Sus scrofa: one gene and its partners. The protein of the gene in region 2 purifies or fractionates together with the protein of the main gene of each other region. This does not show direct contact. Links are inferred from orthologs where the notes say so. Each region holds a gene or a part of one and is shown on either strand. Other genes may lie near its edges.

Evidence for each region.
Region 1: the proteins of PHIP (region 2) and CUL4A purify together in Homo sapiens (affinity purification with western blotting; 11 studies listed by BioGRID and IntAct, with this or other methods). This does not show direct contact. The link is inferred for Sus scrofa from reciprocal best matches to the Homo sapiens genes PHIP and CUL4A.
Region 3: the proteins of PHIP (region 2) and CUL4B purify together in Homo sapiens (affinity purification with western blotting; 8 studies listed by BioGRID and IntAct, with this or other methods). This does not show direct contact. The link is inferred for Sus scrofa from reciprocal best matches to the Homo sapiens genes PHIP and CUL4B.

What each region holds. Positions count from the first base shown.
Region 1 is NC_010453.5:78,574,025-78,577,541, reverse strand, and holds part of CUL4A (cullin-4A), read right to left. Parts: intron 2,377-3,517; coding exon 2,258-2,376; intron 893-2,257; coding exon 700-892; intron 1-699. UniProt on the Homo sapiens protein: Core component of multiple cullin-RING-based E3 ubiquitin-protein ligase complexes which mediate the ubiquitination of target proteins. As a scaffold protein may contribute to catalysis through positioning of the substrate and the ubiquitin-conjugating enzyme.
Region 2 is NC_010443.5:87,115,657-87,119,685, forward strand, and holds the start of PHIP (PH-interacting protein), read left to right. Parts: upstream 1-1,227; 5' UTR 1,228-1,567; coding exon 1,568-1,607; intron 1,608-1,719; coding exon 1,720-1,778; intron 1,779-1,905; coding exon 1,906-1,935; intron 1,936-2,120; coding exon 2,121-2,180; intron 2,181-2,545; exon of another isoform or gene 2,546-3,184; intron 3,185-4,029.
Region 3 is NC_010461.5:98,685,571-98,689,087, reverse strand, and holds part of CUL4B (cullin-4B), read left to right. Parts: intron 1-84; coding exon 85-152; intron 153-1,317; coding exon 1,318-1,436; intron 1,437-2,040; coding exon 2,041-2,233; intron 2,234-3,517.

The DNA of each region.
Region 1 (3,517 bases), on a different chromosome or scaffold from region 2:
TCTCGAGGGTGAAATACCCCCTGCACGCACACCAACGCAGACCCCGGTACAAGGAACACCGCATCCCCCCCACCTCTTCGGCAGAGCCCGATTCTGCATCGCCTTTCTCTGCCTCTGCCTCCTGGAACTGGAAAACACTACTCACTAGTGAAATTCTATGAATCCTGAAATACACTTTGAAGTCATCGTGAAATAACTATACAAAGTGACCTTTTAAAGACTGTCTTCTGAAACGTGCTCTCCTAGGAGATGCCGTTCAATTTTACCCTGTTTTAATGCTGCCTGGAGGACACGGAGACAGTGACTCCAGAGCACCTCATGCGGAACACGCTCTGGAGACTGACAGTTATCCTCACACGGCCAGTCTCTGAGCGGAAATGACTTGTCTGTGGTCACACGGAGCATCGAGCCTCGTCTTTACAAAGGGCGGCCCCGGAGCTGCAGGCCGTGCAGACTGGGGCCGGGCTCTCCCGCTCACTTCTCTGCAGAGTCGCCCCAACAGGAGCCCTTATGGAAACGCCGCGAACGTCCACACGCATTTAAAGTATATCCACGCACGCACGTGTGCACGCGTTTTGAACACGCGTGTGCGCCTACGTCAGGGGCCCACCTCCGCGTGAGGAGCGTGAGCTGCGGGGGACCAGCCTCTGCCCGCGCTCTGCGGGCTCCCGCGGGGACGCGGCGGGGGAGGGTCCCTACCGATCAGCTCGGCGGGCTTGTTGGGCCGCTTGTTGATGAACGCCTCGAAGGACTCCTTCATCAGGTTGATGAACTTCTCGTTCCTCTGGAAGCACACGTCGATCACGTGGTCCACGCGGTCCTTGAAGTCCAGCAGGTCCTGCACCATGTCTTTATCCTTTTCTGGATTGATAACGATGGTTGTCCCAAACGTCTGCAAGAACAAGCGCTCCGCGTCCTCACCGGGTGTGTGACACAGCGTCATTTCTCTCCTGCTAACACTCTCAACGGGTCAGTGCAAATTAATCACTCCTGGTATTACATGCTAACTACTTTCAGAAGTTTCCCAAACGCAGTCGACTACCTAAAAATGAAGCAGATGTGCAGAGAAGGCTCTGGGGTTGCAATCCTGCTTCTGGAAGAATTTACAAATTACTGGGGAACCGTCGGCTGCTTTTAAAAACTCTTACTTACAAATTCGTCAAAGAGAAATGACGTCCCCTAACCTGACGCCACTGTTTGTACTTCCTGACTAATGGGCTTGCTCCTCACTCACAACCATGGTCCAGAGCCCGGCTTTTCACTCACAGGTGCTGTGTGAGGCATTTAAAGGCCCGTGTGAGAGCTGCAGCTCACCTTTGCCAAGACAAGCTACCAGCCCAAGCGGCACTGAAGACACCTGCCAGTCCACATGACAAACGTCTGTTTTTAAAACCGCCCTTCGGAGGACACACCCGCACACATGCCCGAGGGGGCAGGTGCCTGGCGAGAAGACAGGCGTGAAGTGTCACCAGTGCCACGGGGGGTGGGGGCGAGGGTGGGTCGCCCTTCCCCCCGTTCCCTCCAGTACTGACCGGGCCTGAAAGAAGGCACACCCGACCCGTGAACACACCTCCTGCGCTGCCAGAGCCTCCCTGCAGACCGTCAGCGGGCGCCGGCCCAGCGTCCTCACCACTGCCCTTCCGCCCAGACGGAGAAGCACACAGGTGGGCTTGGGGTGTCGGCTGCTGGGCTCGGGTCTCTCGGGACCCCTGGTCGGCGGCTCCAGGCCAGATTATTTTATCTTTTGGACTTAGTTGAACCTCCCTGCGTGGTCACAGATCCACACGCAGAAGCGGTGACCATGTCCTTTGTTCCCAAAGGTACCAGGTGGCAAAGCCACCAAGCAGCATCACAACTGGGACACTGGACACTGGCCTTTGCCATGTGCCCTCAACTCATCCACGTGGCTGGCGTCTCACCTGCGCCCGCCTCTGTGCGAACCACCTGCGCGTGTTTGTGCGCACACGCCTGAAAGCGCACGCTTGCTCACAGACCTGGATTTCCAAGACACAAGCAGCACCCGCACCACCCCGACACACCAACCCGGGCAGCAGCTGCCCCCGAGCAAAGGTCATGGCTCGGGAGATGAGGCCATCACGACCGCTGATGTAAGCCGGTGCTCATGCTGACCACGAGCGCCGAGGGCAGCGGGCACAGCTGACACCTGGACCCCCTCCATCCCTAGAACCGGGTGCACAAGTGACCTGGAAGAGGGACGGCCACCGCCTGCCCGCCGCGGCCAGGGGGTTGCACGCACCTTGATGTACTCGCTCCAATGCTGCAGCAGCGCCTGCTGGCCGCCCCGCACGCGGCTAAACAGCTGGTACATCTGCGTGAGGTCGGGCACCCTGTTCTCGTCCAGCAGGTGGTCCAGCCCTGTGGTCACACGACACCGTGAGCGGCTGCGGCAGGCGGCCGAGGTACAATGGCCACACGAGGTCACAGGTGACCCGGGACGCAGGAGCCGCCCCTGCCCTCGGCAGCCGGGGAGGTCCCCTTTCCCCCCGTCCCGCTCCAGCAGCTGCGTCTGCAGAAGGCTCTCTCTCACCAGCTCTGACCTGGGGCTCTGAGCCCAGGTCACGTCTAATTCAGCCCCTCGGCCGGCAAGTGCCTCTGCCAAAGGATAAGCTGGTGCATCCGGTCTTTCCCAGCCGCTTCATACCAGCCGCCTACGGCAGCGTCCAGGTACTTACTACTCTAGGCATGACCCCTCCATGAAGGTTTGCTAACACCACACGATCGGAAGAGCCTCCACGAGGGCGCCTAAGTCCCTGCTTTGCGGGACCTGTCAACAGGCGCATGTGCCCACACGTCCAACCCGGGCGCCCAGGCAAGGGGTCAGAGGCCCCTTGTTTCTCTCAATGACTTTCTGACCTACTCCTGCAAATACTTCATTTTACAATTTATCTACTGAAATGCTTAATGATGACTTAAGAATTCAAAGATCAGGAGTTCCCACAGTGGCGCAGCGAAGATGAAACCGACTAGGAACCATGAGGTGTGGGTTCCATCCCTGGCCTCGCTCAGTGGGTTAAGGATCCAGCGTTGCCGTGAGAGTGGTGTAGGCTGCGGATGTGGCTCGGATCTGGCGTTTTGTGGCTGTGGTGAAGGCCAGCAGCTGTAGCTCTGATCTGACCCCTAGCCTGGGAACCTCCATATGCCGTGGGTGTGGCCCTAAAAAGCTAAAAAAAAAAAAAGAAAGGATTCAAAAGTCAGATTTTAATTTTGTAAAAGGTCTCTAGTAAAAATTAGACTACGTTCTTAAGTATACATGATTCACTATTTTCTTGAAACAATCTTGCTTGTCAAAACATGCCCTGAAACGAATCACTCAAATGTCTACTATCTACGTGACGTACTTTCTTCCAAAGAGACACCGAGCAGAATCTGGAAGCTTCTGTTTGAGGTCGACAGTAATTGAAGGCCCTGCTCCGGAGAAAACGTACCAGCTGCTGCTCCAGGGGGCTGCGAGCGGGGAGACACCAAACCTGCGCCGGGCTGTGGCTCTGTCTGGGGC
Region 2 (4,029 bases):
AAATGGCTTTTTCCATTGTTTCCATTAATTTCACCCATATTCGTTTTTAAAAAAACAAGGCCCTTATCCTCATCAGCAAAACACAGATGTATGATTTAGCATATAAAACCGGTAATTACATACTCATTTACAAAAGATTAATTTTTTTCTCTTTTTGTCAGTTTTCAAGAAGTCTTCCCGTGATTAACTGTAAACAGGAATGGTTTACACCTCAAATTAGAAGCCATTAATTAGCATGACGAAGTATACACAGATACACAGATAATTTAAATTATTTAATCACTAATCACTTTGGCTAAAGTGTAGTATACTCTCTCATTATCCTTCGGTAGGTTATTGATCTGTCACTATATTCCCTCCCGATCAGTTAGAGACAAATATTAGCGTTCTTTCCTTTCTCTCAGGTTTACACTATTCCTTCTCGTAAACACTTAAGAAAGCTTTAAGGTTCTTTAATCCCAAATCCCTAATTAGCCATTACTAGCCTTTTTGTAACGAAGGGGAAAAAAAAAAGAGTATCTGAAGTACAGACTACGAGTTCGCTTTGCCAATATAACAATAAAAAACCCCACACATTTAAAAAATGTACGGTTAAGGCAATGGCAGTAATAAAAGATATATGCAGAGGTGGCTTCAGCAAATAACGGGCTTGGAAACGCAAGGGCTCAACAAAAAGCCCCTGAACCTCTCCTGCAATATACAGCTCTCCGTTAAATTACACAACACTTTGCCTAGGCTGCAGAAATAACAGGACAAGACTTACACAGATGCCAATCCGCAGCATTTATACACATGCACATGGCCAAGAGACAGAAACCAAACACTATCATTCAACTCGGGCAGGGTGGCGCGATCCCGAGTTTGCCCAGCGTGAGAGTGCTCTATGCGTGTGTGTCTGTGCGCGCGCGTGAGAGTGAGACCCATCCTCGGGGCATTTCCCCTCTCTGGGCAGTTTTGCTTCATTTGTTTCCTATTTCTGCTACATAGAAACTAACTTCCATCTCAGCCTCAGCCAGCGCCACTGAATAGAGCCTGTGCTGCGGCGCCGTGTGCGTCAGATCCCTCCGCAGAGCCGTCGCCGACCCCCCTCCCTCCCGCGATCGGCCTCCACAGAGAAAGCGCCTTGCAGCCAACCGGCGGCTTCGGCTCCGACATCTTCGACTGGAAATAAATAAATAAATAGCACCTCCGGCCGGGAAGCAGCGGGCGGGGGGCTCGCCGCGCCGGGTGCGGGGCGCCGTGGGCGCGGGGTCGGAGGCACTCCTTTTTTTCAGCGCCGGGGGGCGGGGGCGCGGGCAGGACCGGGCTGAGCCCGGGGCCGCGAAGGCGGCGGACTCTTTTCTGCGGCGGAGGGATCCGCGGCGGAGGCGGCGGCGGCTGGAGCCGCTGCCTGAGAGTTGTTGTTTCCTCCTCCTCCTCCTCCGCCTCCGCCGCCGTAGCTTGAATGGTGGAGCCCAGGCTCGGCTCGTGAACACACAGTGACAGCTATAGGGCAGGCGGCGGCACCATCCCCGCTTCCCCTCGGCGGCGGGGTGTCCCGCCGGCGGCCCCGAAGTGACCCATAAACATGTCTTGTGAGAGGAAAGGCCTCTCGGAGCTGCGATCGGGTAAGTCGGGGGGCTGCCGGGGCCGCTGGCACCGGGCGATTCCGCCCGCGGGCCCCCGCCCCCCGCCGCCCGGCCGCTCAGCCTGTGTCTCCGGTCCCTCTCTCCCGCGCAGAGCTCTACTTCCTCATCGCCCGGTTCCTGGAAGATGGACCCTGTCAGCAGGCGGCTCAGGTACGGCGGCGCGCGGGGCGGGCCGGGCGGGCGCTCGCCGCTCGCGGGCGTGGGGGAGGGCGGCGGCGGCGGCGGCGGGGCCGGGCCCGGGGCGCGGGGCTCAGCTCTCCCCGCTTTGTTGTTGCAGGTGCTGATCCGCGAGGTGGCCGAGAAGGAGGTAAGGGCGGCGGCGGCCCGCGCGTCCCGCCGCTGCGCGGCCGCCAGCGGGCCGCTGCGCCGCCGCCGCCGCCGGGGCGCGGGGCGCGGGGCTCGGGGTCCCCGGCGGGGCGGGGGGCAGGCGGGGGAGGGGCGCGGGCGGGCCGGGGCCGGGGGCCGGGCTCACGGGGTGCCCTCTCCCCGCAGCTGCTGCCCCGGCGCACCGACTGGACCGGGAAGGAGCATCCCAGGACCTACCAGAATCTGGTGAGACATTCGCGTCGCGGAGCAAAGAAACTTTTCCCCGAGTCGAATAAAAATTGAATTTCCCGCAATTTTTTACGGAGACAAAAACTTGGCCTCGGAACCTGCAAGCTCCCAAGGCCAGGGGAGGGTTGGGAGGCAGGCGCGGGGGCCGCGGGGGGCAGTGGCCGGGGGGACCCGCACCCCGGGGCCGCAGGGGCTGCCGACAATTTATTTGTGATATTTTGTTAATGTGCTAGAAATAAAGATACGTCATGAGCGTTGTGCAGTGCAAGGCCGGAGGAGGAGGGGCCGGCGCGCGCGGCCGTGCGGGCGCGGGGGCGCGCGCGGCGGCGGCGGCGGCGCGAGCGGCGCGAGCGGCGCGAGCGGGGAGGGCGCGCTTTGCACGCCTGCTCGCTCTGCTCGCGCGGGCGGCTCGGCTTTCTCCTGCCCCACACAATGGCTGGTGACTAACTGCTCCGAAGTGGCATTAGCATTTCACAAGCCGGCGGTGCCGCCACCGCGGAACCGGGTCGAGACGCTGGGGGTTTTTTGTTTTTGTTTTTTCCTCCCATTTCTTTCGCCTTCCTTACGAACCGATCTGGGTTTTTTTGTTGGAGAGGTTCGGATGTACGATGCCGGCTGGCCAGCGGCGCTTGCATTTCCCCGAGCGCTTTCTCAGAAGGGACCCCCGAAAACCAGGAGTTTAAGGAGCTTTTTTTTTTTTCTTTCTTTCCAATCCGGCTGTTTCTCGTGTTAGGCCTCCTCGTTAAATTAAAAGCTATTTTTGGAGGCCACTGAAGATCAGTTCTGATTTTTGTTCCTATGTTTACTGTGGAATGGAAATTGGCAAATAAAAGTGCTGCAGTTTCCATCGGGGAGTATTTTGTTAGCAGCTTGGGAAACCTATTTCTTACTTCTGTGGGTTTTCGAAGTGAATATTTTAGTAATTTCTAAAAATCGCTTGTTAAAAGCGGACCTATCACGTAAGGATTGTGAATAGAACAGTGGATATTTGTTTTCGGGAGGTATGTTTTCGTATTGTTTTCTCCTAAACTGATATAGGTTGTATGTATGTGTGTGTGTTGGGAAATTAAAAGCAGTTACTGGGGCAGATCAAACCTTTGAAATCTAGGCAGTGCATTGATTTTCTGAGATATATTTGCACCTGATGTTTTGAAATAGTTATAATGTTACTTTATGAGGGTTTCTGAAAGGATTAGGAAGTTTCAGCTAGTTTAGAATTGAATGTGTTCTGTGAGATGAAGGGATGACATGATTTTTGGTGGCTTTTGTTTCATTTGTGTATAGACATCTAACCTCTGTATCCAAATGTGTTAGGATTTAATAATTGGCTGTTGCTAAGTGTTCATAGCTATTGAAGTTAGCGAGGGTACTTAGGTTTAGTTATTTTAAGGGAGACTTAACCCATACATTCGTTTCCATTCTGTTAGCTTTCCTAGTATTTAGTGATTTAGGCTTGTTTCTTGGCTAAAATGGAGTTTGAAGCAAACTCCAAGATTCAGTAACTACAGAATTTAATTTTTACCTTTGTAAATATTTGACAGAAGTCTTAAGTGGATTTCCATGTTTTTCGTGTTACTTTAAAAATTGTCATAAAGATTATAATGTTCCATTTTAAAGAATAAGGCAGACAGAATTCATCTTTGCATTTATTTTTACCAAAGTCATTTTTACATTTCATAAAAACCCACAAACCCGAAGTCAGTGAGGATTGCTGTATTTTTTAACGTGAAGACTATTGGTCATGTTACATTCATATTTTTAAGATGAGGCTGTCAATGGTATTTGGCCCAGTTATGGGGATGTTTAATCCCTGTAAGAGTATCATTTTATTTTCCAGTGAAAACAA
Region 3 (3,517 bases), on a different chromosome or scaffold from region 2:
ATTCTGAAATATGATTCCCCCCCCCAGGAGAGGCTGTAAATTTTTAGCAAAGTCAAATGTCAATAATTCTAATTTTTTTTGTAGGAAGTCATTAATTGCTACTGTAGAGAAACAACTTCTAGGTGAACACTTAACAGCAATTCTTCAGAAAGGTAATTGGCAATTTATAAATAAGAGATTACTTTTTAAATGATAGCAGCAAACAAGTAGAAAATTTTTAAAGATTGCACCTTTGAAAATTTGCTAGCGTGTGGCTGCATTTCTGAGGATGGATGCAACCCACTTTTCCCTAGTCATCACTGTAAACTTAAGGAGGTGCTTCTTTCCTTAAGATACAGAAAGTAAGATGAGAGGACTCTACCAATACCAGTAAAGAAACAGTGGGAATTTGGGGATTTTTTATTTTAATTTGTAAGACTACAGTAATAAGGAAAGGCATTTTTTCACTAAAATGTTTCTGTTCCTAGCATATAAAACCAAGCATTTCTTTTTTTTTGCTTTTTTTTTTTGTCTTTTTAGGGCTGCTGCACCTATGGCATATGGAGGTTCCCAGGCTAGTGGTCCATTTGGAGCTAAGCTACTGGCCTACACCACAGGCAGCACAGCAACACCAGATCTGAGCTGAGTCTACAACCTACACCCCAGCTCACGGCAATGCCGAATCCTTAACCCACTGAGCGAGGCCAGGGATCGAACCTGCAACCTCATGGTTCCTAGTCGGATTCGTTTCCGCTGTGCCATGACGGGAACTCCCAGAACCAAGCATTTCTATTACTCCTAAGTTATCTATGAGGATGTCCTGAATTTTGACAGTGCCACAAATAGGCCAAAGTCTTACCTTTCTTTCCAGTCATCTTTTCTTTTGTGTAAAATATTTTAGAATTTTAATGCAGTTACGCTATTCATTCTGAAAATCAAATGCATTAGAACTTCATTTAAACTTTGCCTATTGGTACATGGGTTTCAATATACCACAGGCCATATCTAATACTCTAAAATATACCTATGTACACTGATGTATATATGGCTGTTACAAATTTGATATGAAGTATATATATTTATGTAAATCAGTTTTTATAAGTTGGTTTATACATGTGATCTGCCATACTAAATAGTATAAACTGCTATATTATTATTTTTATTTTTATGTAAAGTTTTCTATATTTAGTTTTCATTTGGAAAGGTGACTGTCTCTTTGAGTTTAATTCAGAGCACATATCCATATTAAAATCTAGTATCACAGTAATAATTTAACTTAATTTTCATTACAATATCTGATGTTTTCACTTTTTTAATAACAAATACTTCAAAATTCAGGTTTAAATAATCTCCTTGATGAAAACCGAATTCAAGATTTATCTCTCCTATATCAACTCTTCAGTAGAGTTCGAGGAGGCGTTCAGGTTCTCTTGCAACAGTGGATTGAATACATTAAGGTATTAACAATTAACCTGGTTTTTTTTTTTTTTCCTCTCATGGCTTATCATTTATATATCCAGAGTGCATATCAGCTAGCATTTAGTACTCGTGAGATCCAATTTTTTTTAAGTAATGAGAATTTTGAGAGCAGTCAACCTGAGAATGATAGCTGTGTGGAAAATTAGCAATAAAACAGTTACCTTCTTGATGTCTGATGTGATTTCTAGCTCTGATACTCAGAGCAGTGAATGTGGAGAAAGAAATAGGACCTTTTTTCTATCCAAATTTCTTCCCTTTTTTCAATCTTACACTGAAGGCAGATTGCTATTTTCTAAAAATTCAAAGCTCACTTCTTTAAAAGTAGGGAAAAGACCCTAGACACTTCTATAATAATACCCCATTATGATACTGTATACCCAGTGATCATTCATTATTTTGTGATTATAGATGAATGGTATTTTTTCACTATTTTTTTCTTTCCTTGACTTCAAAACTAGCTTTATTTTATTTTAAGTTTTTTGAGATTTTAAAGTATGTGTACCTACTTAAAATATGATTTTTGGATTATTTTCATTGTAGATAATTCAATTCTGGTAAAAAGTGGTTATTTCTGTTTTTTAGGCATTTGGTAGCACTATTGTAATTAATCCTGAAAAGGATAAAACCATGGTTCAAGAATTACTGGATTTTAAAGATAAGGTTGACCATATAATTGATATCTGTTTTCTGAAGAATGAAAAATTTATCAACGCCATGAAAGAAGCATTTGAAACATTTATTAACAAAAGACCAAACAAACCTGCTGAACTTATAGGTATTTTTCCAATTCCTTTCCCCAATTATTTAATGTTCTTCTTTTACTCATAAAATTTGAGTTAATCTGAAATTTTGACAAGGTTGTAGTAAATTAACACCTCATTTATTTGGAGTTACTTAGGTGATGATTTCTTTTTTTTTTATAATTTTTTTTATTTTCCCACTGTACAGCAAGGGGGTCAGGTTATCCTTACATGTATACATTACAATTACATTTTTTCCCCCACCCTTTCTTCTGTTGCAACATGAGTATCTAGACAAAGTTCTCAATGCTATTCAGCAGGATCTCCTTGTAAATCTATTCTAAGTTGTGTCTGATAAGCCCAAGCTCCCGATCCCTCCCACTCCCTCCCCCTCCCATCAGGCAGCCACAAGTCTCTTCTCCAAGTCCATGATTTTCTTTTCTGAGGAGATGTTCATTTGTGCTGGATATTAGATTCCAGTTATAAGTGATATCATATGGTATTTGTCTTTGTCTTTCTGGCTCATTTCACTCAGGATGAGATTCTCTAGTTCCATCCATGTTGCTGCAGATGGCATTATGTCATTCTTTTTTATGGCTGAGTAGTATTCCATTGTGTATATATACCACCTCTTCCGAATCCAATCATCTGTCGATGGACATTTGGGTTGTTTCCATGTCCTGGCTATTGTGAATAGTGCTGCAATGAACATGCGGGTGCACGTGTCTCTTTTAAGTAGAGTTTTGTCCGGATAGATGCCCAAGAGTGGGATTGCGGGGTCACATGGAAGTTCTATGTATAGATTTCTAAGGTATCTCCAAACTGTTCTCCATAGTGGCTGTACCAGTTTACATTCCCACCAAGAGTGCAGGAGGGTTCCCTTTTCTCCACAGCCCCTCCAGCACTTGTTATTTGTGGATTTATTACTGATGGCCATTCTGACTGGGGTGAGGTGATATCTCATGGTAGTTTTGATTTGCATTTCTCTTATAATCAGCAATGGTGAGCATTTTTTCATGTGTTTGTTGGCCATCTGTATATCTTCTTTGGAGAAATGTCTATTCAGGTCTTTTGCCCATTTTTCCATTGATTGATTGGTTTTTTTGCTGTTGAGTTGTATACGTTGCTTATATATTCTAGAGATAAGCCCTTGTCCATTGCATCATTTGAAACTATATTCTCCCATTCTGTAAGTTGTCTTTTTGTTTTCTTTTGGGTTTCCTTTGCTGTGCAAAAGCTTTTCAGTTTGATGAGGTCCCATGGGTTTATTTTTGCTCTAAGGTCTATTGCTTTGGGAGACCGACCTGAGAAAATATTCA